2 linked regions of the Oryctolagus cuniculus genome follow. The protein of the gene in region 1 purifies or fractionates together with the protein of each later gene. This does not show direct contact. Links are inferred from orthologs where the notes say so. Each region holds a gene or a part of one and is shown in the gene's direction. Other genes may lie near its edges.

Evidence for each region.
Region 2: the proteins of LZTR1 (region 1) and RIT1 purify together in Homo sapiens (affinity purification with mass spectrometry; 3 studies listed by BioGRID and IntAct, counting the BioPlex papers as one, with this or other methods). This does not show direct contact. The link is inferred for Oryctolagus cuniculus from reciprocal best matches to the Homo sapiens genes LZTR1 and RIT1.

The regions. Positions count from the first base shown.
Region 1 is NC_091452.1:29,736,156-29,740,431, forward strand, and holds the start of LZTR1 (leucine-zipper-like transcriptional regulator 1), read left to right. Parts: upstream 1-1,396; 5' UTR 1,397-1,498; coding exon 1,499-1,698; intron 1,699-2,114; coding exon 2,115-2,177; intron 2,178-4,276. Other genes in the region: AIFM3 (apoptosis-inducing factor 3), read left to right, coding at 89-109, 324-363. UniProt on the Homo sapiens protein: Substrate-specific adapter of a BCR (BTB-CUL3-RBX1) E3 ubiquitin-protein ligase complex that mediates ubiquitination of Ras (K-Ras/KRAS, N-Ras/NRAS and H-Ras/HRAS).
Region 2 is NC_091438.1:42,787,090-42,791,517, forward strand, and holds the start of RIT1 (GTP-binding protein Rit1), read left to right. Parts: upstream 1-1,547; 5' UTR 1,548-1,580; coding exon 1,581-1,677; intron 1,678-1,861; coding exon 1,862-1,966; coding exon of another isoform or gene 1,967-2,010; intron 2,011-2,509; coding exon 2,510-2,566; intron 2,567-4,428.

The DNA.
Region 1 (4,276 bases):
TGCAAACAGTGGCGGTCCAGCAGGGGAGCGTGATGGTGACTGACATGCTCTCTCCCTGGCCGTTTCTGTCCTTTTTGCCTTCGCAAAGACTGTTCACGCTGCACAGCAAGTACGTGCGCCAACCTCTGCCCTTCCTGTTCACACCTCTTGTCCTTCCGGGTCACGCCTCCGACTCTTTCCCGTCTCAGCCCAGAGCCTGCACCTTTGTCTGCCCAGATGCTCATCCCCTCTGGGCCCCAGGGCTGCCACAGAGCAGGCCCGAGTGGGGAGCCTGCGCTGCTCTCCGCCCGCCCTGAGCCCCATCTCTCTCCTCATTCCCGCAGGACTGGCGACATGTCCTGGCTCACCGGGAAAGGATCCTGAGCTTCACACGCTGGATCTGGGCGGCCATGCTGGGGCCCCAGGGGCAGAGGCCGAGCCCCAGGGGCAGGTGCCAATCAACCTCCAGTTTCCCAGGACTTCCCAGGGCAGAACCCGAGTCCTCTCACAGTGCTTGCCTTCAGCAGCCTGGCACCACCCCCTTAGAGAGGCATCGACTGCCTGCAGAAGATGCGCACGCGCCCAGAGCCTCGGCCGGCACTGACAGCCTGCACCGGGGGCGCGCCAGGCGCTGCTGCTTTAACCGCGGTTGGGTCAGGTCGTGTTAGATAGTACCTGAACATTAAAACGCACACATTCCCAGATCTGTGTGACTCCCGGTGTAATCGCTATCAGGCACGAGCACAGAACGCTAGGTGTCACGACAGGGAAGCTTGGCCCCTGAGCACACCCCCGCCCGCCCCCATCTTCCCCACCAAGGCCAGACGGGGCTTTTCAGCAAGTGCCTTTGGCTTTAGCAGACAGGTAGAAGCGACAGCAGGTGCAAAGGCACACTTTGTGGGGCGGTCTGCAGGAGCTGGTCCCGACACAGACCCCACGCCGCTCACTGCCGCCAGTTTTCTGCAATCCCATCTCGCAGGTGACAGAAGTAGGAGTGAGAATCTGGAGGCTCCGCGACACCGGGAGCCGGGAGGCTGGAGGTTCACGGCTAGGGAGGCGACAGCCAGGAGGGGCTCGGCGGGTCGCCGACGGGAGCCGCTGCCGAGCCCGGAACCCATAGTCTGGGTTTCCGGAAGTGGCGGACGATCCCAGCCGCAACCCCGCGCAGACACAGGGCATGCCGGGAAACGAGATCCCGGTCTGATGGGTTTGCGGGTGGAGTGGGCCTAGCAAGCTCGGGGGAACTGGAGACGGGACACCTCAGTCCCTGGCGCCCATATTTCGTAAGAAATGCGTTCTAGAGGGTTACACGCTGGCCACAAGGCCAGAGACCAGGTTCCGCGCTCGCCCGTCGCGTCACGCAGAGCGCTAGGCCTGCCGGGAAGTGCGGGCCGACGAACCCCCGGAGCTGGCAGGAAGTGCCGCTCGCGTCGGCGCAAGGCCCGTCGGGAGATGTAGTCCCTCCGGGGCGGTGGCCGCAAGTCCTGCGGCCCCGGTGGCCAACCCGGCGGGACCCGGGATGGCTGGGCCGGGTGGCTCCGGGGGCCCGATCGGGGCCGGGGCCCTGGGCGGTGGCGCGCGGTCCAAGGTAGCCCCAAGCGTGGACTTTGACCACAGCTGCTCGGACAGTGTCGAGTACCTGACACTCAACTTTGGGCCGTTCGAGACGGTGCATCGCTGGCGGCGCCTCCCGCCCTGCGACGAGTTTGTGGGTGCCCGGTACGGCGGCGGGGTTCAAGGGGGTCCCAGGGCGGGGTCCAGGGGCGAGACCGAGACGTGGTGTTCCGGGGCTGCGATCTGGAAGTGGTGATGACGGAGATGGTGCCCGTGGGACGGTGTCCGGAGCTGGCGAGGGTGTCGGGGTGGGGTGGGACACCTGCGCAGAGTCCGAGAGCTGTTGATCTGGTGGGTCTCGGGTCGAGGGGGTCCCTAGGTGCCGTGTCGTGGGATGTCCAGAGAGGCCCACGTACAGAGTCCTTTGGGAGGGGTGGGTTTAGAAGTCTCTGGATCCTGGCAATTGTAACCTGCTATCTGGGTCATGTGGCAGTCCTCATGCGTAGTTCTGTTCTTTGGGTGCCCCACCCACCCACCCAGGACCCTGGCCTCACCAGCCATCCCCCTTTCTTTCTTTGCAGCCGGAGCAAACACACGGTGGTGGCTTATAAAGATGCCATCTATGTATTTGGTGGTGACAACGGGTGAGTGACTGTGACTATCCGGGTATTTGGACCAGGCAGGGAGAAGCATTGTGGGATAGGGCTTGGGCCCTTGCACGCGGGGAGCTGGAGTGAGGAGCAGAGCTGAGACTTGAACCCTGGTGCTCCGATGTACAATGCAGGCATCCCTAGCAGCATCTTTTTTATTTTTATTTTAAGAATTATTTTATTTATTTGAAAGTGTTACAGAGAGAAATAGAGCCAGAGAGAGAGAGAGAGGTCTTCCATTCCCCAAATGACTGCAAGGGCCAGAGCTGAGCTGATCCCAACACAGGAGCCAGGAGCTTCTTCAGGGTCTCCCACGTGGGTGCAGGGGCCCAAGGACTTGGGCCATCTTCCACTGCTTTCCCAGGCCATAGCAGAGAGCTGGTTTGGAAGAGGAGCAGCCAGAACTTGAACCAGCGCCTATATGGGATGCCAGCACTTCAGGCCAGGGTGTTAACCTGCTGCGCCATAGCGCCGGCCCCTAGCCCCCTACTCTGTGTCCACCCCACCGTTCCCCATTCTGTCCCCTCCTTGCACTGGGCCACGCTGGCTGCCCTACTGCATGTGCACTGCCCTGGCTCTTCCCTGCCTGTCCTATGATGCTCCTTGTGAGTGAGACCCTCCCTGGCCACCTGGGCATACAGGCAGCCATCCCCTCCCCTGCTCTTCTTCACTGTCTCCCTTGGTCCCTGTAGCACATAGACATTGGTGCTCGTTGCGTCTCTGTATCCCAGCCCAGACAGTGCAGGGTTTGTCCACTGAACAGATGAAAGAAGGGAGATCCCGCCCGCGGGTGTTAGCCGGAGAGAGCGGGAGTGCCGGGGCAGAGCAGGTGTTGGTGTTCTGCCCAGGGCAGTGGGTGGGAAATAGACCCCTCCATTCTGCCTAGTAGGCAGTTCGTGTGTGGCAACTGTGTAGCAAGAAGCCCAGCCCTTTCTGTAAGCTGCTACATACAAAGTGTCAAAAGACAAAAGGCGGTTGGCTTTTATTGGTAATTCAAAAATCAGTACAACCTCTATCATACAAACTCGGAGGAGCAGCCACCTTGGCTGGTAGAACAGGGGGTTTTATAAGGTTGGGGCTAGGGCACTAAGCAACAGACAAGAACCCTGCTGGGTGAGGCGTAGGTTGCTGCAGTTTACATTTTTGGTAACGGTTACAGTGAAGGGGACTTGGTTGTGATGCTGAATCAGGTGTGCCGGCTGCACCTGTTTGGGGATCTCTCCACTTCCTTTGATTTTCTGTTTACGAGGCGTTTAGCAGGAGTGACGCCATTTTGGTTTGGCCTAGCGCAGGAGCTCAGTCTGAAGCAGTGGCCTCCCAGGATTCTGTTTAACAATGGGGACACCAAGAAACAGGATGCAAACTTGTCTTTCCCTGGGTGTGGTTTTTTCCCCTGGGTATGCCAAAGAAGGGTGGCTTCCTGGGGTGTGAATCAGGAAGGGGTGGCCTCAAGTTCAGCTTTTTTTTTTTTTAATTATTTATTTATTTATTTATTTTTTGACAGGCAGAGTGGACAGTGAGAGAGAGAGAGAGACAGAGAGAAAGGTCTTCCTTTGCCGTTGGTTCACTCTCCAATGGCCGCCGCAGCCGGCGCACCGCACTGATCCGATGGCAGGATCCAGGAGCCAGGTGCTTTTCCTGGTCTCCCATGGGGTGCAGGGCCCAAGCACCTGGGCCATCCTCCACTGCACTCCCTGGCCACAGCAGAGAGCTGGCCTGGAAGAGGGGCAACCGGGACAGAATCCGGCTCCCCAACCGGGACTAGAACCCGGTGTGCCGGCGCCGCAGGCGGAGGATTAGCCTAGTGAGCCGCGGCGCCGGCCTCAAGTTCAGCTTTTTTATCTCCCAGGCTGTTTCATCTTCTATAAAATGGAGATGGGGAGCACACACACACACTCCACCGTGCACACTGAGCAAGGCGGAGCCTGGTGTGAGAACACCCTGGTTGCGTTTTTTACCCCCTAAGGCCAGGAGATGGGGAACTCCATCTGGTCTCCACAGCGGGTGGCAGAAAGCCAAGCACCTGAGCCATCACCGGCTGCCTCCCAGGGCGCATTAGCGGGAAGCTGGATCTGAAGTGGAGATTAGGGCTT
Region 2 (4,428 bases), on another chromosome or scaffold:
GAGTTGGCCCCTTCAGGCACATGTGTCAGAGAGCCATTGTATTTTTATTGCCCTTCTAAGCTCCTGTTTTCAGCTGAGTCAGAAAACTACTTGACTAAGAGCTGGTCAGAACTCACCACAAATACGAAACACAGTGGTCTGTGTCTCTGGGAACTGGTTGCGGCTGAGGAGAGAGTGGCTGCTCAGTAGGATGGTGGACTCAGTGACTGGAGTTGCTACATGTCCTTTTTCTTGGCATTACAGGTTTTGCCAAAAGAACTTTTTTGTATCAAATATTGATGTGTGAAAGTGAAGGAGCTAGTCTGCCGAACCAGGAGTAGTTTGAGATACTGAACTGTCATTTTTGCACATTTGAATACTTTACAGGCTGGCTTTGTATAAACTTATCCTCTGGTTTCCTATATGTTGTAAATATTTAGACCACAATTTCATTATAAATAAATGTATAAATATTCTGCTTGTGTTTCTGTCTTTTTCTTCCACGCCCATCCATACGCTGAAACTTTAGCATAATGTGATTGGATCCTCACCAGAAAGATACATACAGATAATTCTTAGAGTTTTGTAACTGCAAAAAAGTCCACGTTAAAATTTTTCAGGGTTACCATGTTGGTGTTTTGCATTTTGTTTTAGCTTTCCTTTATCAGTGGGTTAAAGACAAAATTTAATTCACTAAATAATTTTAAGATAATTTATTTAATTTAATGCCACTCATTTTAGTATCTTCATGTATTTAAAATACATGCTTAAGGCCGGCGCCGCGGCTCACTAGGCTAATCCTCCGCCTTGTGGCGCCGGCACACTGGGTTCTAGTCCCGGTCGGGGCGCTGGATTCTGTCCCGGTTGCCCCTCTTCCAGGCCAGCTCTCTGCTGTGGCCTGGGAGTGCAGTGGAGGATGGCCCAAGTGCTTGGGCCCTGCACCCCATGGGAGACCAGGAGAAGCACCTGGCTCCTGCCTTCGGATTAGCGCAGCGCGCCGGCCGCAGCAGCCATTGGAGGGTGAACCAACAGCAAAGGAAACCCTTTCTGTCTCTCTCACTGTCCACTCTGCCTGTCCAAAAAAAAAAAAAAAATACATGCTTAAACTTGGTCTCGGGAGCACAAGTCCTTGTAGCAGCCCCTCTGGGAAAGGGCTTTTCCTGCTTAGGATCTCAGGGTCAGCGGACGGGCCTTCCCCTTTCCCTCCGTTAGCCTTGCATTGGGCCAAACATGAGTTGTTCACTAGCAGCCAACAGCCCAGTACGTGCGCGCTGGCCTGGGCGATGGGACGTGACAGGGCAGCCCACTGAACCAGGTCACGGACCAGGAAGACAGATGGCCCGTCCCGGCGGGGGCGGGGCCTGCGTGCGTCGCCGGCGCCCCGCCCCTCCCGTCAGACACTGCGCCATTATACCCGGCTGTGGGAGGGGACAGTGCCGGTGCCCCGGCGCGAGGGAAGAGGGCGAGGTGGGTTCCCCGGTTCGGCGGGCGGGCGGGAGTCTTGCCGGCGCCAGGCGGGGCTTCGAGGGGTGCGGAGGCGCAGCGGGGGGCGGGAGGTGCCTCCGGGAGGGGTGGAGCCTCGGGACTGCTGACGGGAGCGGATGCCGTGCCCTCAAACCTCAACCCTTCTCCCGGGTGTGTTGCTGCCCCATTCGGAAAAGAGACTCCAAATTTCTGTTGGTTTTTATCGAAAACGTAGTAAGTGGAAACCCGCCATGGTGTCACAGGACCGCACAGTCTAGAGTGAGCGAGCGAGGCAGTGGGATTTCTTAGTGCCGCCAGAAAGGGTTCCGAGTGCACGGGTGGGACAGGCTGTGTGGTGAGGGACGGTGCTGGCTCCGGGTCTGCAACCTGGACCGGATATTTTTTACTCTCTTCCTAGGTGGCTTTTCTTTGGGACAGCCCAGGACTCCCCCAAGAGAACAATGGACTCTGGATCTCGCCCAGCTGTTGGCTGCTGCAGCAATCCTACAGGACTTTCACGCGAGTACAAATTAGTGATGCTTGGCGCGGGTGGCGTGGGGAAAAGTGGTAAGGGCACATTTTCCTTTTTTTTTTTTTTTTTTAAGATTTTATTTATTTATTTCAAAGTCAGAGTTAGAGAAGGAGAGGCAGAGAGAGAAAGTGAGAGGTCTTCCGTCCGCCGGTTCACTCCCCAATTGGCTGCAACGCTGGAGCTGTGCCGATCCAAAGCCAGGAGCTGCAAGCTTCTTCCGGGTCTCCCATGCACGTGCAGGGGCCCAAGGATTTGGGGGCGTCTTCCACTGCTTTCACAGGCCACAGCAGAGAGCTGGATCGGATGTGGAGCAGCTGGGACTTAAACGGGTGCCCATATGGGATGCTGGCACTGCAGGCAGCGGCTTTACCCGTTGCGCTTCAGCGCTGGCCCCACATTTTCAGTTTGACAAGATGTAAGAAAGAATTGACCTCTGCCAAACCTAATGGGCTCCTGGCTGTTGTGCAGTTGATATTTGGAATTTTCATCTATGGATCACCTTCATGAGGTTAACTTTGATTTCTTGTTTTGAAGCCATGACTATGCAGTTTATCAGCCACCGATTTCCAGAAGACCATGACCCCACCATCGGTAAGCCCACTGTACTTTGGGTTTCCCTGTAAAAGTATTTTGAGGGATGTCGGTTTTAAAAAGATTTTTTTTTGTTGTTTTTTTGTTTGTTCTCAATATTTTTTATAGTTTATGAGGTTTTTTTTTTTTTTTTTTTTTTTTTTTCAAACTAAAGCTTTTCTTAAAAAAGATCTATTTGAGAGGCAGAGACAGAGAGAGAGAGGACTTCCATCGAATGGATCACTCCCCAGATGGCTGCAAGAGCCGGAGCTGGGTCGATCTGAAGCCAGTAGCCTGGAGCTTCCTCCAGGTCTCCCACATGGATGCAGGAGCCCAAGGACTTGGGCCATCTTCTTCTGCTTTCCCAGGCCATAGCAGAGGGCTAGAGCAGAAGTGGAGCAGCCAGGATTTGAGCTGGTGCCCATATAGGATGCCAGCACTGCAGGCAGCAGCTTTACACACTGTGCCACAGCACCAGCCCTAAAAAATGATTTCTAACTATATTTTGAGCCATTTTTGGTGTCATATTTGTTTAGAGACAAGCGTGGCATAGCAGTATGTAATTAGCTGAATGTGTCTGCTTTTATACTTTTCTCTGTGTACATAAGCTGTCCTTAGTTTCTATCTTATTAAATATTTGTGGGCCAACTTTCTTTGTCTTCTTAATGGTTGGTATATTATCAGATTAAAGGAAGAGCTTAACGGCCACTTAAGGGAGCCTTTTCTTGCTGTCAGTTCTCTAAGGGTCTCACTGGAGACTGACTCTAACTATGAGTCAGCTGCTTGCTGGTTTGAACTTCCACAGAAGGAAGCAGAAAAACAAGTAGAGCCAGCCTACTGAACTCTCACAACCCAGACATGCTGGAAGCCCTCATTTTACTTCCTTATGTCTCAAGTTCACTGTGCAGTCATGTCTTCTCATGTCTTTTGTTTCATTTTATGTTTTATAAAGATTTACTTATTTGAAAGGCAGAGTTACAGAGACACACATACACAAAAAGAGATCTTCCATCAACTGGTTGACTCCCCAAATGGCTGCAGAGGGACTGGGTCAGGCTGAAGCTGGGAGCCAGGAACCCCATCCAGATTTCCCACATGGTGACAGGGGCCCAAATATCTGGGCCAACTTCTACATTCATGGGTGCATTGGCAGGGAGCTGTATTAGAAACAGAGCAGCTGGGACTCAGACCAGCACTGTGTTACGGAATGCAAGCACTGGCATTGTGCACAGCAGTTTAACTCACTGGGCCACAGTGCAACCCCTCCCATGTCCCTTTTTTTTTTTTTTTTTTTTTTTTAGATTTTATTTATTTATTTTTTATTTTTTTGACAGGCAGAGTGGACAGTGAGAGAGAGAGAGAAAGGTCTTCCTTTTGCCGTTGGTTCACCCTCTAACGGCCGGCGCGCTGCAGCCGGCGCACCGCTCTGATCCGATGCCAGGAGCCAGGAGCCAGGAGCCAGGTGCTTTTTCCTGGTCTCCCATGGGGTGCAGGGCCCAAGCACCTGGGCCATCCTCCACTGCACTCCCTGGCCACAGCAGAGGGCTGGCCTGGAAGAGGGGCAACAGGGACAGAATCCGGCGCCCCGACCGGGACTAGAACCCGGTGTGCCGGCACCGCTAGGCGGAGGATTAGCCTAGTGAGCTGCGGCGCCGGCCGATTTTATTTATTTCTTTATTTGAGAGGTAGGGTTAGAGAGAGGGAGAGACAGAGACAGGTCTTCCATCCACTGGTTTACTTTCCAAATGGCCACAATGGCTGGAGCTGGGCCAATCCAGGAGCCAGGAGGTTCTTCCACCTGGGTAGAGGGGCCCAAACACTTAGGCCACCTTCCACTGCTCTTCCCATGCCATAAGCAGAGAGCTGGATCAGAAGAGGAGCCA